Linked DNA regions of Macaca mulatta. The protein of the gene in region 1 purifies or fractionates together with the protein of each later gene. This does not show direct contact. Links are inferred from orthologs where the notes say so. Each region holds a gene or a part of one and is shown on either strand. Other genes may lie near its edges.

Region 1 (5,129 bases):
ACTGCACCACTGCACTCCACTCCACTCCAGCCTGGGCAACAGAGTGAGACTGTCTCAAAGAAAAAAAAAAAAAGCCTCATTCACAGGTAATTTTTTTAAAATGTAAACTAAAATAGAATTTAAAACCCAAGCTGCTCGGTTTCTTGGAAAATGGATTTTTCCTACTTTGTAATATACTTTGTATATCTCGACTATGATTGTGTATGCAAGCACCTCTAAGAAGAAGTACTTGTATCTACAATGAATTCTTTTTTTTTCTTTTTTTCTTTTTTTTGACACGTAGTCTTGCTCTGTTGCCCAGACTGGAGTGCAGTGGCTCTAACTCAGCTCACTGCAAGCTCCGCCTCCCGGGTTCACCCATTCTCCTGCCTCAGCCTCCCGAGTAGCTGGGACTACAGGCGTCCACCACCACGCCCGGCTAATTTTTTGTATTTTTAGTAGAGACTGAGTTTCACCGTGTTAGCCAGGATGGTCTCGATCTCCTGACCTCGTGATCCGCTCGCCTCAGTCTTCCAAAGTGCTGGGATTACCGGTGTGAGCCACCGCACCCGGCCTGCAATGAATTCTTAAACCTCAGGGAGCCAAATAAAAAGACAAGGCCTGAGGAATTCTTTCAAAAATTAAAGTAACATTTCATATTTACTTATTCTAACAGACAAAGAATAAAGAAGGAATCCGCTAAGTTGTAAGCTGAGGTGCAGACAAGTGCTGGTTCACAATGACATCCTAGAAGGAACGCTCTGGATAAGAGCTTCAAGCTTCTACGGTTTTCTGAGGAAAGTGAACGGAATCTAAACGTGTCCTATCGCTCAAAAAAAATCAGCGCTGTGGACCACAGAGCCTAACAGAGTAAAGTAATACAGCGTGCAGTTTGGCCACTAACAGCAAGAGTGGGAAGGGGCAAAGAGGAACCTTGATTGCCCGACACCAGGGCCACCTGAAGACTCCTCTTGACACTTCAGTCTTTCCATTTTGAGATTAGAAGCTTCAAGGACCATTAAATCGCTGCCGCTGCCACACCAGGCCCGACGGAGCAGAAAGGCTGCGCTCACCGGCGGAAGCGACCGGGTGCACACCTGCCGGGTAGGGAGGCCCACACGGTCACACCCCGCCCCGGCTTACCTGCCCTTCGGCGATTTTTAGCTTCAACTTCCATCCCTTCCCACCCATCTGGATCCAACCAAGCCCAAGGGCGGGGGAGGGAGAAGCTAGTGCCGCGAGGAAAAGCATCCCCGCCACCCGCCGCAGGCTTTCTCTCCTCCCTCCCCATTCCACAGAAGAGGCAAAGCCACAGCGCCTCTCCTAACCCTCGTCTCTAATGCAAGGCCTGCAATACTTAGAAAAAAATAATAACTGTTTTTAAGGAGAAGTAACATCCCCGCTCCCTTCCGCCCCTCACCTTCACGAAAGCAATCGGGGTTGTGGTACCTTCGATATCTAACAGGATCACGGTGACTTCGGCGGGGACCGAAAGCACGACCATTTCCCTTCCGGATGCTACGGGACTCGGCCTGCAGTCGGGGAGGGTGGAGGGCGGCGCCGGCTGCGGCTGCTGCCCCCGGTACCGTCCTGGGCTTCCGACGGCCCCGCGCGATCTTGGAGTCAGCGACCAAGTGCAGCCCGCCGCGCGTAGGGAAGAGAACACCTCTGCACACCTGGCACTGGAAAAGGCGGCCGCCCAGGAGCCCCTGAACTCGTGAGCAGGACGGGGCAGGAGCCCGAGACCACGTGGGCAGGAAAAGGGGCGGGCCGTGCTGGGTTCGGCGGGGCGGGGTGCGAAAGCCCAGCGCCAATTGGTCGCCGTCGGGCCTCGAACGCGATCCGTCAAAATGGGCCTCGCGTGGGCGGGAACAAAGAAGCGAACGCGGGAGCAGGATGCGCGAGAGCGCGCCCTCCGCAGACAGGTTGAGCGAGCGGGAGAGGCCCGGGGCACGTGCAGAAGGGAGCCCCGCGAGTGGCGCGCCGGGGATGTGAGTGCCCCTTGCCCTCTACTGCATCCAGCCCCCTCCCCGCCCACCGCCTCCGTCCTTGCATAGATACAGTCATCTGGCCAGCCTCCGCCCCTCCTCCCGGCCTCAGCCTGCCAGAGAGGCCGCGCGGGGCTCGGGCTTCGGCCGATCAGCCAGGAGGCCTCGCTGCGCCCCCTCGGCCCGCGCGCCCGTGGCCACAGCGGAAGAGACGCCCGCGCTGCGCTGTCCGGAGGGGCCGTCGCGCGCCCGCTTCCTGTTCGGCTGGTTCCTGCCAGCTCGAGGACAAAACACGCGTGCGCGCGGCGGGCGAGCGCGCTCGCCGCCTCAGTCGCCAGCGCCGGGCGCAGTCCGCCTTTTTCCGGAGTAGCCCGGCCGCGGTGCTAGTCGGTAGCAGCGGCCGCCGCAGCGGCTCCGCACTGGCGAACCGAGGGCAGAAAAAGGCGGGGTTCACGGCTCTTTGGTAGGAGTGGGCTGGACCGGACGCCAGAGACAAAGGCTCCCAAGGCAAGAGGGACTGTGGCCTTGCGTCGGCTCTGTTCGGGACTGCTGACCCCAGGACTTTACGCCCCTTCGTTTTTCTCTTCTGATTCTTCTCTTCTCCCAAGCCCGCGTCCCCTCACGCGTGGCCTCTCTCCTTGCCGGGAGGGCCGCGATGGAGGTCCCGCCCCGGCTTTCCCATGTGCCGCCGCCATTGTTCCCCTCCGCTCCCGCTACTTTAGCCTCCCGCAGCCTCTCCCATTGGCGGCCGCGGGCGCCGCGGCAGCTAGCCCCGCTCCTCCCTTCACTCGCTCCCAGCTCCGCCCGGCAGGGGGCGCGCCGGGCCCAGCGCCACGTCACCGCCCAGCAGCCCTCCCGATTGGCGGGCGGGGCGACTATAAAGGGAGGGCGCAGGCGGCGCCCGGATCTCTTCCGCCGCCATTTTAAATCCAGCTCCATACAACGCTCCGCCGCCGCTGCTGCCGCGACCCGGACTGCGCGCCAGCACCCCCCTGCCAACAGCTCCGCCACTATGGAGGATATGAACGAGTACAGCAACATAGAAGAATTCGCAGAGGGATCCAAGATAAACGCGAGCAAGAATCAGCAGGATGACGGGTACCGCACGCTTCTTCCCCCGCTCCCCCTCCCCCAGCGCGCCGCACGCGCCCTTCGTCCCTCGTGAGCCGCGCGCTGCCCCCATTCTTTCTCAGAGTCGATTCCCCGCGTGCCCTCTGGGCCCCACTAGCTTGGAGGGAAGAGGAAAGTAAGAGATCGAGGGGGTGACTGGAGAGACCCGGGAAGAGTGGGGGAAGGGCGGAGGGGTTGGAGGAGGAGGGCGGCGGCGTCTCTGTCCCGAGCGCGCAGGCGCCGCGTGGGACCCGGGGGGGAGGGGCCGGCCTCCCAGCGCCGCTCGCTGCAGCTGCCGACGCCTCTTCATTGTGTGTCTGTTACCACTCGGCGCGGTTTTCCTGGGAAGAGTTTTAGAGGACTCTGAGTTCGGGCACAAGCAGGCGACTGGTACCCAGATTCACAAAACGTATTATGATTGATGAGTTCTCTGGGTGGAACGTTGGCTTGACAGCTGAGGACGAGGATGGACCTAAGATAAGATGTGAGGGATTCATCTAGGAAGTTGGGCCTTGTAGCTGAAGCAATCTGGGCAGAACCTTTACTATATTTTATTGGTCTCCTTTGAGTTTTGCTTTATGTAGTGCGGAGAGCGAGCTGTCCGCTGGTTTGAGTAACTTTGTTGGGATATTGGGATTTTTGTGTGAAATAGATTAAATGTAAACATGGATTAAATTGCTTACACTTAGGGGATAAATGTTCCTGTTTTTATTCTACGATTTAATTCCAGAACTGAAGGACCATTTGAGTTACTGTTAATTTTTTAAAAAACCTTTTATTTCTAGTAAAATGTTTATTGGAGGCTTGAGCTGGGATACAAGCAAAAAAGATCTGACAGAGTATTTGTCTCGATTTGGGGAAGTTGTAGACTGCACAATTAAAACAGATCCAGTCACTGGGAGATCAAGAGGATTTGGATTTGTGCTTTTCAAAGATGCTGCTAGTGTTGATAAGGTAGGAACTGTGTTTTGCATTGTGCTGCTTTTGTAGTGTTTTGCACATTTTTCTGGGGGTTATATGCTGCTGTCAGATTAAATAAATCTGTCTTGTAGGTTTTGGAACTGAAAGAACACAAACTGGATGGCAAATTGATAGATCCCAAAAGGGCCAAAGCTTTAAAAGGGAAAGAACCCCCCAAAAAGGTTTTTGTGGGTGGATTGAGCCCGGATACTTCTGAAGAACAAATTAAAGAATATTTTGGAGCCTTTGGAGAGGTGTGTGATTATGTTTACACATGTTAAGCTTGATGTGTTTATAAAATGTTTAATCCTGGTCCGATTTATACAGGGCAGATTCATGTTTCGTGTGAGGGTAGGATTAAATGACTGCTCAAGTCGCTTCCAGGGACTGTACCTTGATTTGATTGCTGCTCTGATGGAAACCCAACTATCTTAATTTAGCCAAAACATGGGCACTTAAATGTGGTCGGTGTTTGGACTTGTTAGTTAGTGGCATCTTTGGGGTACAAAATAATATTAAAGGATGTTTTACTTTTCTCTCAATGCTTCAAATATACAACAAATCACTGAAGGCTGATGTTGATCATAAAGCAGTGATGTCTGTATAGAAGTCACCTGATAAGAATAACATGTTTAAGTTGAAGCCTGAAAAGTACCTGTGGCATTCTGACACTCTGGTAGCATTTTACAATTATGGGATGACCTTGAGTGTGCATCTCGATTTCAGATTGAAAATATTGAACTTCCCATGGATACAAAAACAAATGAGAGAAGAGGATTTTGTTTTATCACATACACCGATGAAGAGCCAGTAAAAAAATTGTTAGAAAGCAGATACCATCAAATTGGTTCTGGGAAGGTAAAGCCATTTAAGTACTTTAAATGAAAATTTTAAGGATTTCTTTTTTCTTTATTTTTTTATCTTTTAGTTTTTGAAATTTCTCAATGTGTTTGAGAAAAATAAAATGATTAAATTTTAGAACTTGAGTAAAAATTCTATTTTCGTGTTTTTTAATTTGTTTATAGTGTGAAATCAAAGTTGCACAACCCAAAGAGGTATATAGGCAGCAACAGCAACAACAAAAAGGTGGAA
Region 2 (5,256 bases), on another chromosome or scaffold:
CCCCATTTTGAATTTTGCAGTCTGGAAAGAAAACAACCGTTAATACGGAATTTAAAACCTAAAACCACCTCTGGGTGACACAGATTAAATGTCTATTCCGTGTCCCCACTACAAATTACGTAACTTGTGAAGCCTGCATATAATGATGGTATTACCAACTCCTGGAACTCCAATAAAAAAAAAAAAACCTCATTCCCAAGGTGATGTATTTCCAACCCATCAACAACATACAATATTCAAAGCAGTTTCAGAATGAATTTCTCTCTTAAGTCCCTGCTACTTATGTCCACATCACACATCTTTTATCAATTTCTCAGAACATTATCAAGCCTGGACTTTGTGACTTTATGGCAAACCTACTTCGTTGCGAGTTGCTTTGGTCTGGTCTGGCGCGTTTGTCAAGTTTTACCTTACCAGCAGCCACATTACGGTTTCTCATTCAAATCCAAATTACAGGCCCAATACTCACCTGAAAGGGGATCAGTGTTACCAAGCTAAAATGCTCCAAGTTGCACAGCTGAAGCCAAACCCAGCGTTGCCCCCTGCAAGGTGGCTTCCAGTGTACTTGGTTCTTGTTTTACAGGTCGTTTTCCGTTACCAATGCTAAATTCAGATAGTAAGTCAACACTACAAACGTCTTGCCAAAAGCTGTCAATTTCATACAAGTAGAATTTTATCAGTCTAATTTTTCCCAGTCTAATAATGGGAACAAGGACATTCTGATAGAAAATATTCAGGAAACCTAGGGACTGCAAAAACACTTCCCTGGGTTTCAGTGTTTTCAATTGTATAGTCAGCCAAATTAAGAACTAGATGAGCACACACTCTTCAATTACCAAATCTTGATTAGGAAAACTGAAATTAAGACGTGACATTTTAACTTTCCGAAGAATGCTCCTTTTCAAGGAAACACCAGAACTGGAAACAAGAGATTACACTTCAAGATACTGAAAAACATTACTATTATTGGTCTAATTACTCGGCAATTTTCTCGAGATTGAGGAGGAAACCCACCTATGCCAATTCATCTTTTCGCAAAAAGACACCGGAGCCAGGCGCGGTGGCTCACGCCTGTAATCCCAGCATTTTGGGAAACCGAGATGGGCTGATCACTTGAGGTCCAGAGGTTCGAGACCAGCCTGGCCAAAATGGTGAAACCCCGTCTCTACTAAAAAAACAAAAATTAGCCGGGCGTGGTGGTGCGCGCCTCTAGTCCCAGCTCCTCGGGAGACTGAGGCAGGAGACTCGCTTGAACCCAGGAGGCGGGGGCTGCAGTGAGCCGAGATCGCGCCACTGCACTCCAGCCTGGGTGACAGAGACTCCCAACACAAAGGAAAAAGAAAAACGACATCCATAAAAGAAAAGTTGGTGTTCAAAGGTAGTAAAGAAATCAAAGGGTCTGCCAGATCTGCCGCACTCCCCCCGCAGGGCCAGGAGGACGGGCGGGGCTTTCGAAAATTCCATTGCGTAACCGCGGCCGGCCGGGCGCGAGCCACACGGCGGTGAGTGCAGTCGCCCGCGCCTCGCCAGGGGGCGCCCCGGGTCCCGCCGCCCCGCCCCGCCCCAGCCCGGCTGCCCGCCAGCCCGCCCGCCCCGGCCTCGAACTCGAACTCCCGCGTCCTAGTTCTAACTCACCAGAAAAAAACCTCTGCACTTCATCGGCCGAGCAAGACCACGGCAAGCCCCGGACCTTCACCACGAATCCCTCTCCGCCTTCGGTGCCCAACATCATCGTCTCTTACGCGGTCCGGCGTCGAAACAAACTGCAAGGCGGGGAGGACCAGACCTGAGAGCGCCAATTAAGCTGTCCTCCGCCTCCGAGGCGCCCCCGGGCCCGCACCGGCCCCCCCACCAAGCAAAAACCGGGGGGATGCACCCACCCCGGCGGCTCCAATACCCAACACCTCCTCGTCCGGCGGCCGGACCCCCAAAAGCTGTTCTGAGCAGCAACCGTCGGCGCCCCGAACCGTGGGGGCCCGGGCCGAGCCAGCGTGGAGGAAAGGAAATGGCGGCGGCCGCTTCCGCTCCGCCTCCTCCGACTTCTCACACAATAGAGTCGGCGCGGCCTGCAGGCCTCAGCTGCGGTGCCGACATTCAGCGAACCACTCGCGGCTCTCGATGGCAGCCCGCAGCTCGCCAAGGTCCCCGTGGCCCTCCCAGAGGTATGAGGACAACCAATCCTCGCAAAAACGGCGCCCACGGTGGTCGGTGAACTGCAAGCGAGGACCCACCGAGACTCACCCAGAAACCCGACTTCTGCGTGGCTAAGACGAAATGGCCAGCGGGCGCCTGCGCAACCTAAATAAGGCCCTTTGTGCGAGTTCTGCGCACGCGCAGCCAGCTGCCCGCACCGCCCCGTTGCGTCACAAAGAGCTCTGGCGCATGCGTAGTTTCAAGAGCCAGCCCACCGTCCGCCGGCGGATTATTACACGCTTGGGATTTGGGCGCAGCACCCCCACCCATAAACCCGCCGGGCTTTTTATTGCGCATGCGCCTTCCCGCGAATATTGAACTTGGGAGTCTTAGCGGTTTATAATTGTTTCATGCGCATGCGTCTTCCTTGAAACCGTTCTCTAGCCTTACCCGCCAGCGTGGGGGAGGGGAATGGCGGCCGCCTGTTCCCTATGGGACTGTATAGGAGTCCCGAGCTCTGGGTTGAAGAGGTGGGCGTCTTTCTACCCCTTACCCCCTGGCTCTTACCGGTGCGCTCCTGGCCGACCTGAAAGGAGAGGCGCGGCCTTCAGGCGTTCCCACTCCCCGCGCCGCCTGTCTCCCCTTTATCCCCAAACCGGCCGAAGCTGATCAGCCGCAGATGGTCGAGCGTCCTGGGAGCTGCGGGGCTGCGGACGTCCCGCGCCCGAAGCCACCCGGATGGTGCCTGGGGCACGTCCCAGCCATGTGTGCCTCCACTTCCCCTTACCTGCGGTCGTCGGGCCTAGGGCCCCGGTCGGCGCGAGGTTCCCGTGCCTGTGGCTCGCGCCTGTACCCAGCTTTTGCCTAACGAACTCGCACCCTGTGTACCCCTTGACCCGCCTCACGGTCGGTGGGCCTTCCGTGCCCTGGGGCCCTGGCACGAGGAGGAATCGCGAGCGCGGGCTTCTCCACGGGTGCGTGCCGGCCTCTGCCCGGTAGGTTACCGCTGAATCTCCCAGGACAGAATCGGTAACAGTGCGTCCAATCCCCGGGCGTAGACGCCGCATTCGAGGAGACCCCCGGCTCACCCCATGTGCACACATGCTGCCAGATGAGTAATGTTCGTGGTTTCTAACAGCACTGCCCAACACCGAAGATGCCGTAGCCTCCCAGGCCTCCCCAGGTCTGAGCTGGCTGCCCTCCTCACCCCAGCTCTAGTGGACACAGACAATAAACAAATTAACAATAAGGCAGGGTTGGACCTTGCCGCAGGGCTACCTTAGCTAGTGCAGGCCTAAGTGCCACCCTGGGAAGATGCAGACGAAGCATGTTTCCAACCCCAGGGCCACAGAGTCCGAATCCAGTTTTGACAGGTTTGAGAAAAGTAGAGAGGACATCAAAAGAAAGACGGGAGCCCAGAGCTAAGCAGGGCCTGATCTTCAAAAGCCACTTAGGCCTTGGCAAGGATGTTAACTCCGAGAGAAGGCTTTGGCAGGTGATCAGCAGGGGAGCAATAAGCCCTATGCAAAGGAAAACTTGCTGGATGTGAGGGGGATGCAGATGGAGCAGGCAGGGTGAATGACGGTACATGCCATGCCCTCTACTACAAACGGAACTGGAAGCACATATCTGTGGTACCATTTCAGAAAACACTTTGGCTGAGGTAATCAAGAAGAGAGACTCTGGCCAGGTGCGGTGGTTCACGCCTCTAATACCAGCACTTTGGGAGGCCGAGGCAGGCAGGTCACTTGAGGTCAGGAGTTTGAGACCAACTTGGCCAACATGGTGAAACACCATCTCTACTAAAGATACAAAAATTAGCTGGGCATGGTGGCGCACGCCTGTAATCCCAGCTACTCTGGAGGCTGAAGCAGGAGAATCACCTGAACCCAGGAGGCAGAGGAAGCAGTGAGCTGAGATCACACCACTGTCCTCCAGCCTGGGCAACAGAGAAAGACTCCCTCTCAAAAAAAAAAAAAATATTAGCCAGACATGGTGGCATATACATGTAATCCCAACCACTTGGAGAGACTGAGGCAGGAGAATTGCTTAAACCCAGTAGGCAGCGGTTGCAGTCAGCTGAGATCATGCCATTGCACTCCAGCCTGGGCAACAAGAGCGAAACTCCATCTCAAAAAAAAAAAGAATAATAGTGAGGTAGAATAAATTTCATACATTTATAGCCAATGCTCTTATATATAAATTGTCCAACTTATATTAAAACAAGGTTTTTAAATATTTATTTTTTATTTATTATTTATTTATTTTTGAGAAACGGCCTCACTGTCACCCAGGCTGGAGTGCAGTGGTGCAAACATGGCTCACTACAGCCTCTACCTCCTGGGCTCAAACAATCCTCCTGCCTCAACCTCCTGAGTAGGTAGGACCACAGGCATGTGCCACCTTGCTCAGATAACTTTTTTATTTTTCTTTTTGTAGCAATGGGGTCTCATTTTGTTGCCCAAGCTGGTCTTGAATTCCTGGACTCAAGGAGTCATCCCACCTCAGCTGCCCAGAGAAAGTGCTGGGATTACAGGTATGAGCCACCATGTCTGGCAATGAAAGAAGGTTTTTTTGTTTGCTTTTGTTTTTGAGACAGTCTCACTCTGTCACCCAGGCTGGAGTACAGTGGTGCAATCTCGGCTCGCTGCACCCTCTGCCTTCCAGGTTCAAGGAATTCTCGTGCCTCAGCTTCCCAAGTCTAAAGGGATTACAGGTGTGTGCCACCACACCTACTTTTTTTTAATTTTTAGTTGAGATGGGGTTTTGCCACGTTGGCCAGGCTGGTCTGGAACTCCTGACCTTAAGTGACCTGCCTGCCTCGGCCTCCCAAAGTACTGAGATTACATGCATGAGCCACCACGCTCAGCCAAAGGTTTTTTAAAATAAAAAGTTCATCATCAGCCCAGGCGAGGTGGCTCATGCCTGTAATCCCACCACTTTGGGAGGCCAAGGCCGGTGGATCACGAGGTCAGGAGTTCGAGACCAGCCTGACCAACATGGTGAAACCCCCTTTCTACTAAAAATACAAAACGTAGCCGGGTGTGGTGGCGGCGCGTGTAATCCCAGCTACTCAGGAGGCTGAGGCAGGAGACTCACTTGAACCTGGGAGGTGGAGGTTGG

The links. Proteins that work in one complex are often made in the same cells at the same time.
Region 2: the proteins of HNRNPDL (region 1) and HNRNPH1 fractionate together in Homo sapiens (co-fractionation; 3 studies listed by BioGRID and IntAct, with this or other methods). This does not show direct contact. The link is inferred for Macaca mulatta from reciprocal best matches to the Homo sapiens genes HNRNPDL and HNRNPH1.

What each region holds. Positions count from the first base shown.
Region 1 is NC_133410.1:51,379,604-51,384,732, forward strand, and holds the start of HNRNPDL (heterogeneous nuclear ribonucleoprotein D-like), read left to right. Parts: upstream 1-2,097; 5' UTR 2,098-2,622; coding exon 2,623-3,065; intron 3,066-3,862; coding exon 3,863-4,031; intron 4,032-4,129; coding exon 4,130-4,291; intron 4,292-4,763; coding exon 4,764-4,895; intron 4,896-5,062; coding exon 5,063-5,129. Other genes in the region: ENOPH1 (enolase-phosphatase E1), read right to left, coding at 1,400-1,483. UniProt on the Homo sapiens protein: Acts as a transcriptional regulator. Promotes transcription repression. Promotes transcription activation in differentiated myotubes. Binds to double- and single-stranded DNA sequences. Binds to the transcription suppressor CATR sequence of the COX5B promoter.
Region 2 is NC_133411.1:188,581,831-188,587,086, forward strand, and holds the start of HNRNPH1 (heterogeneous nuclear ribonucleoprotein H), read right to left. Parts: upstream 3,323-5,256; 5' UTR 2,921-3,322; intron 2,277-2,920; exon of another isoform or gene 1,881-2,276; intron 1,764-1,880; 5' UTR 1,733-1,763; coding exon 1,636-1,732; intron 22-1,635; coding exon 1-21. UniProt on the Homo sapiens protein: This protein is a component of the heterogeneous nuclear ribonucleoprotein (hnRNP) complexes which provide the substrate for the processing events that pre-mRNAs undergo before becoming functional, translatable mRNAs in the cytoplasm.